Bombyx mori: one gene and its partner. Each later gene encodes a partner of the first gene's protein in a complex. Links are inferred from orthologs where the notes say so. Each region holds a gene or a part of one and is shown in the gene's direction. Other genes may lie near its edges.

Evidence for each region. Proteins that work in one complex are often made in the same cells at the same time.
Region 2: eukaryotic translation initiation factor 3 subunit F (region 1) and eIF3h share a complex: the UniProt entries of both Drosophila melanogaster proteins name them as parts of the eukaryotic translation initiation factor 3 (eIF-3) complex. The link is inferred for Bombyx mori from reciprocal best matches to the Drosophila melanogaster genes eIF3f1 and eIF3h.

Annotation. Positions count from the first base shown.
Region 1 is NC_085124.1:491,145-494,904, reverse strand, and holds the start of eukaryotic translation initiation factor 3 subunit F, read left to right. Parts: upstream 1-1,240; 5' UTR 1,241-1,295; coding exon 1,296-1,404; intron 1,405-1,671; coding exon 1,672-1,818; intron 1,819-2,740; coding exon 2,741-2,964; intron 2,965-3,760. Other genes in the region: DNA repair protein XRCC1, read left to right, coding at 149-286. UniProt on the Drosophila melanogaster protein: Component of the eukaryotic translation initiation factor 3 (eIF-3) complex, which is involved in protein synthesis of a specialized repertoire of mRNAs and, together with other initiation factors, stimulates binding of mRNA and methionyl-tRNAi to the 40S ribosome.
Region 2 is NC_085110.1:3,930,927-3,934,613, forward strand, and holds the start of eIF3h (eukaryotic translation initiation factor 3 subunit H), read left to right. Parts: upstream 1-800; 5' UTR 801-816; coding exon 817-894; intron 895-1,897; coding exon 1,898-2,115; intron 2,116-2,223; coding exon 2,224-2,383; intron 2,384-3,056; coding exon 3,057-3,261; intron 3,262-3,687. UniProt on the Drosophila melanogaster protein: Component of the eukaryotic translation initiation factor 3 (eIF-3) complex, which is involved in protein synthesis of a specialized repertoire of mRNAs and, together with other initiation factors, stimulates binding of mRNA and methionyl-tRNAi to the 40S ribosome.

The DNA of each region.
Region 1 (3,760 bases):
AGAGCAATAAATTTATATTCTTATATTTATATTTATATAAATTTATATTAATTCAAAATAGTTAAAAAATTTCATGATTGTCACATTTCCTCTATGATTGGATAAATATACATATTTTCCTAATTTTAAACAAATGTACATTTTTCAGAAGTCTCAGCTGGATGAGGACAGCCGCGTAGATTACGTGGTGTGCGACGACGGCGCCGCGCCGCGAATCAAGGGCCGCGCCGTCACTGCAGCCTGGCTGTGGAAATGTCATCAACAACGAAAACTGTGTCCAATATAACGACAGCTCAACTTGTGAATTCCTTTCATTAAATAACTGTCAGCTAACAACGCCTTTTCTTTCACAAATCTCAGTAAATGACCACCATTTTACTAAGATCCCATATCATCTCATTTCATTTAATTTCATTCTAGTTGATTAGGGTCAATTCCCACTGAAAGAGCAGCGGCCGGCAGCGTCTTTTTTAGGCAAAATATTACAAACTATTTTGAATCTTATCTACGTGATTAAAAAGTTCATAGTCATTTGAAGGCAAAGGAGGGGTAGCGTGACGTCGCGAGGCTGCACGAGCCTTCTACCGACTAGTCAAAAGAGGCGCCGCGCGGCTGATCGCGGCGCAGCTAGCTGACGTGCGGCCGACCGCGGTGCAGCTAACAGACTCGCGGCTGCGCGCGAGCGACCATTTCATACCCGCCCGCCCTGCCGCTTACGCATTTCGCGTCATTTTATTAGAGGGTATCAAGTTAGAACGTGCTACGCTCCGTGAGAAAAAAATGTACCCAAAATTTTCTTTTCCTTTTTCTTTCCGTTTTGTTTGTTACTTCTTGTTCTTCTTCTACAGCCAGTGCTATGATACATAAATCCAAATCCACCATATTTATTGCCACACAACTTTCCTTGAGTGAAGTAGATCGCACACTAGTTTTCAAAGCTACTACGCGGAGGTTCATTGCGGCGCCTCGGGATGCCGCGCTGCCTCTCGCGGCGCCGCACTGCCCCGCGCGGCGCCACACTGCCCCTTGCGGCGCCGCGCTCAATCACTTGCTCTTACGGCCGCTGCGCGCCGCTGCTCTTTCAGTGGGAATTGACCCTAATGTCTCAAATTAATCATCTTCATTTTATTTCATTTCACTCCATATTATCATTTTTCATAAAAATAAGACATGACTTAAAGGTCTTAATTACCAGTTCATAAAATCCCTAAAAAAATTAAAATTAGCAGAGATAATACCTACAATATTCTCTTGTACTCTGTGTTTCTGGGTTTGTAGTTTTGGTCGAATTAAAAATGGCTCTCAATATTAGTGTGAAGGTCCATCCTGTTGTTTTATTTCAAATTGTGGACGCATACGAACGTCGAAATGCAGATTCTCACAGAGTTATCGGCACCTTATTGGGTTCGTATTGATTTATAAATCATGCAATAACTATAAATTCAAAGGACATTAGTTGTCAACGTCATGTCGTGTACCAAATTTTATGAGTTGTTATTTAAAAGAAAAATCCCTAAATGCTAAATATGTACGTCAATTATCATTACACATTTCACTTTGGCTTTTCCACATCAACGTTATAGTTAATTTGATAAATTCCTTGGTCACATAAGCCAGGTGCAATACAAATGTGTAAAGGCGTTGTAAGGTTATGTTGTGCTGTTGCTGCAGGCACGAGCGACAAAGGAGTGGTGGAAGTAACCAACTGCTTCTGCGTGCCACACAAAGAACATGCCGATCAAGTCGAAGCGGAACTTAATTACGCGATGGATGTTTACGAGCTGAACAGAAGAGTCAATTCCTCTGAAAGTATTGTTGGTGAGCTATACCTGCATTATACTCAAATTCACATATGTAACAATACTCACAGACGCATACACACACAATTTACACTAATTATTATTATTATTATTATTATTATTAATGCTTTATTTCAGTTATTATTTTTTTTTAAAACCATAACATTTTGTTAGTAATAATTACTTATAATCTATGTTAGTAACTTAAAAATCTAACACATAACTATCATTATATTATACATTTTATACCATTATATATTATTATTTTTCTCCTTCCAAGTGCCTACTGCAAAGGCTATTGATCAGCAGTCCCTCGATCTTGCTCGATATGATTCTCAAAAGACTGTTGTCACTGTCACGAACTCGACGCAATAACGATGCACTTCTCTTCCGCATTATTGCAAAGAAGTCATCTGTGTGAGATGTCGCAAACATTGTGGATGCACTACAAAAGCGCGGCAGTGACAACATCATCCTAAACGCATTATTATATTGGACACGTAGGGCATTGTAAGCTCTCCGCGTGTATGTGGTCCACAGACTACTGGCGTAAAAATTCTGGCAATAAGCTTTAAAAATTGTAAGTTTGACATAGCTATCGCAACCAGTAAATCTGCGGGCCAGCATGTTGCATCTTACTATCAACTAATTGCCACATCATCATCATTTTCCTGCCCTTCTCCGAGTCACCTGGAGTCGGCGCAACATATTTTCTCCGTTCATACTCCTCTATCATAATACCATTTCTTCGCTCATTCCACTCTTACACATATTGTCCTTCATGCAATCCATCCATTTCTTCTTAGGTCTACCTCTTCCACTATAGCCTTCCACATTTATAGTTAACACTCTTGACAATTGCCAATTAATAAAATTGGATCTTTTACTTCCCTTAGCATACCTTATACATTTAAATTCAAACTCATTTGTATTATTTTTAGGTTGGTGGGCGACTGGCAATGAAGTAACCAACCACTCCTCTGTTATACACGAGTATTATTCCCGTGAATGCCGTGAGCCTGTCCATGTTACTCTGGACACTTCGCTGGCTGGAGGTCGAATGGGTTTACGTGCATATGTTTGTGTACCATTGGGAGTGCCAAATGGAAAGCAAGGTTGCATGTTCACTCCTGTAGATGTCACTCTCACATGCTATGAACCTGAGGTAATTATTGAAGATTTTGTACTGTATTCATTGTCAATATTTGCTTTATTAAGCAAAAATATGGTGAAAACTGCTGAAAGGCCATTAAACTCTGACTGTTACAGGTTTAAATTTGTGTTCAAAAGGCTTCAAAATCATGAGCTGTTTTAGACTCAAATTTGTTAATATTTCAATATCCATGAACTCCAAAACTGCATTGTGTGGAATCACATATTGTTATATTGTTAAATAAAAAAAGGGTGCGTGTACTTATGTGCGCGCGTAAGAAGTTATACTTAATTTTTATTAATTTTTTTTTTTTAATAATCATAAATTAATAATAAATATTTAATGTTAATAATTTAATAATGTTTAGTATGAATTACAGTCAAACCTGGATAAGCGAGAGTTAAAGGGAGCACAATCTCATTCTCGCTTATAGAGGTTTCTCACTAACCCGAGTTTCTCCCTAATGAACCCTCTGAATGTCATTTCGCGATTTTCCAGATTCAAACGCATTCACTATTTTAAGTTTATCACTTAATGACAGTACTTTAATTTTCCGTTTTGACATGATGCAGAACAGATTTTTCCCTCGCGATTGATTAACGATAAACTGAGTAAGTCTGACAAACAGGACGGTACACCGGGACACGTGTCCATTCGAAAAGAATGCGATAAATTAACAACGTTATTTAGTTCCACGAAATAGAATAGGTTCTATATTGACGAGAAAACAATACAAAAACAATGTTAAAAAGTTCCATGAAATTTAAGAATGGGTCATAAAATAGCAGATGTTAAATTTGTAATTTGT
Region 2 (3,687 bases), on another chromosome or scaffold:
TGGGAGCCCGGCCCAGAGGTCGGAGTAGTACTCCACACGAGGCCGGACCTGTGCTTTGTAGAGCGAGAGTCTTAAGCAAAAGTCGTAAGTTAACAAAATGTTCCATAAGGTACAACCTAATAAATAAACGATTAATTACAAATTGACGAACGGTAAAATATAAATACAGCGATAACGCGAATTGATACCACTTCCTTATTAAAGCAAATAATGAGACCTCACGTCTATAAGTGTAATTCGAGCCATATCACTTAACTTTATAGTATTTTTTTTAATTCAAAATCTGTAAGAATGTAATACAATTTATACATGGATAATAGAAAAAGATTGAACAACATTTGAGATTTATCATATAAATAAAAAATCTTTTAAACCTTAATTTTTATCATTACTAAAAATGGATTTGTTAAAGAATATTTACAAGATCATAATGCATTAATTGTTTTACATTTATACCGTAAACATTAGGATTAACTATCATTGTGATCCATAGTACAATACGCAAAATTACGGCACTTATTTATTGCATTGTAACTGGGATATAAAAACTACTATATTAATCTCATTAGCGTGTGTATGTCTTCGTATACCTACTCTTTTTAAAACCCAGAAATTTGTAAAAACTGGTATATAGTTCCAACAGTGTTTAAGTTTAATCGAGATGTGATATTCGTGGTAGTATTTTTAAAGGCTAATCTGTCGTATAGTGTCGATTGCAAATAAGGTATCGATTACAATTATCGATAGCTATTGATAGTCGATTTGGAGAGCTACACTAAAATGTAATCAAATCAAACGTTCTCTTGTGAATTAAAAATGGCGAGCCGTGCTGGTTCAGCTAGACGCGCTCCTGAAAATGAAGCGACGATCCAATATGTTCAGTGCGATGGACTGGTAAGTAAATTTAAAATTAAAGTTTAGATAGGTTCTCTGAGACGGACGTCAACTGTAGGTTTTAAATTAAAAACTTTGTGAAAGTTCGTGCCTCGACACGTCATGTATTTTTACCATTTAATTAATATATAGAAGTAAACATCGTCAATTAAGGTGGATTATTATGATCTGGAACATGATTCGTGTTGTATGATTTTAGGAGATCTTAGATTACAATAAAATAGGTTGCCGTTGCAATAATAAAGATAATTGTATAGGTTATGTTTTCAATTTTGTGCTCTCGTTTCTTTTTAAATAAATCGGGCAAACGTTGACAATTCACCAAACCTTGAATAATTCGTTATGTTAATTTCTATAGGATTCTATGAACCAAAAAACTTTCGATATAAAAAGAAAATAAAAGACTACAAAGGTTTTTTATTTCTGTTTACAACATATAAACGTTGTTGAGTCATTGACTGTTTTGGGACATTTGCCCTGAGCCCGGGGGTCATTGAAATAGGAGGATGATCTCACCTAACTGTACATCTAAAACATTAAATTTTCTCTGAACTATATAATTAGTGTTTTAAACTATGCTTCATTACAAAGTTTAGATCTTGATAGTATATGTGAAGTCATTTTTTGTTATATACTATACTACTATTTACTGATAATTTTATAGTTTCCTAACTGTAAATGATTGAGATTAGTTTTTGTTCTGATTGATTGCAAATAGCAAGCTGATTGATTTCCTACACATACACAGAAAGTTAATATAGCAATAATTTATTAGGGATGGGTAGGTATTAATTTGTTTTGTTAAACTTGTTACACATTAAAGTGTATTTTAACTTGCCTTGAATAATATCCTCTCTGAAGTTATTTAGTTGAAACATGCTTAAAGTAGTGGTAAAACAGTTTAATATGTGGTAATCAAACAAATCCTCATCGAACTAACTCAAGCATTTGAAATGACAGATCTGCTCCCACTTTTATAATATATTTGTGCTTTTTATTTTAGGCAGTGATGAAAATAGTGAAACACTGTCATGAAGAATCATGCAGCAACATGGAGGTGGCTCAGGGAGCTCTCCTTGGTTTGGTCGTTGAGAACCGTCTGGAGATTACCAACTGCTTCCCATTTCCAAAGCATGACGACACCATGGATGAGGAGGAATACCAGTTGGACATGATGAGGAGGCTTCGAAGAGTCAATGTTGATCATTTTCATGTTGGATGGTAATTAATATTGAAAATTGTTTTATAGTATGTCAAAATATGTCATACAATATTTTAAATTAGAACAGCAGAACTTTCTTTTTTCTTATACCTCATATCTTTCTTCAGGTACCAGAGTGCAGATGTAGGCAATTTTCTAAGCCTTTCGTTATTAGAGTCACAATATCACTATCAGACCTCTATTGAGGAGAGTGTTGTTGTGATTTACGATACAAAGAAATCAGCCAGAGGATTCTTGACTTTGAAGGCCTATCGTTTGACACCTCAGGTAATTAAGCTCTCATAACTATACACATTTTAAAGTGCTAATGTTGTTAATTGAGCTTTATGACAGAACTAATTTCTGAAGTTGAGCTATTTTATTTATTTATATTACGTATATTTAGTGAAGTTATCACTTGTTAATGCTAAGTGAATGGCAGAATCTATATTTTTGAGATATTTTAAATGTTTTTTATGGGGATACTATCTAAGTGGTCCATGCAACCTGCAGATATCACAACATGAGTGCATTAAGCGGTAGGCAGCGGCTTGGCTCTGCCCTTGGCATTGCTGAAGTCCATGGGCGATGGTAACCACTCACCATCAGGTGGGCCGTATGCTCGTCTGCCTACAAAGGCAATAAAAATAATAAAAAAAAATATATTTGATGTCTCACCATTAAACCAGAATGAATGTATGATTCCCAGCAAATATAAAGAGGATGGTAATGTATGTTCTTATACACATGTCTTAAGATGTAAGACTGTTCTCAATCCTTAAACACATTATTATTACGTGCAGAAATAATAGTAACTTGGACTCACAATATGCTCATCAACAAGCAAGTAAATTATTGTTGTTTTTTTTTTATATTTATATTGTGAAAACATTATGTATAGTTGGGTGTTCATGTATGAATAAGAATATATGTAAAATTGAGGTTAATACTTACTTTACAGGCTATTGCTATGTACAAGGAAGGCGATTACACTCCGGAAGCACTACGTAACCTGAAGATTGGCTATGAAAATCTATTCATTGAAGTGCCAATTGTTATCCGGAACTCTCCATTAACTAACATAATGATCTCTGAGCTCACCGAGATGATACCTGAAGAGGAAGGATCCAAGTTTTTGGATCTGGGTACTGCATCTGTTCTCGAAGGTTTGTTTAATTTTACTATGGTATACAATTATCAGAAAAGCTTTCAAGATTTAGGCTACATCTGACTACATCAATTATGGGTTGATTCCTTTGCTGCAATCTGAAGCTACTACTTTTCCCAGTAGTTGTTTCCTAACTGCTATATTAAACTTGTAATTTTTACTATGTGGAGGAATGGCAATAGACAATTTTAAGCAGGTGAGCTTTCACTATCATCTTGCTTATTAATTCTACTAAGAAAGTGTCCTCTTAAAGGGTACAGATAAACATCCATCCAATGTCATTAAAACTTCGATTCCCTTATGTTAATATGAGGTGGCTCTTAAGAGCCTGAAGATTATGTTTCTTCCTTTACTTAAATGTTCATATCTATATGTTGGTCATCATAAACAATCTACAGAGAGGTTTTTCTTTATTATTTCATGT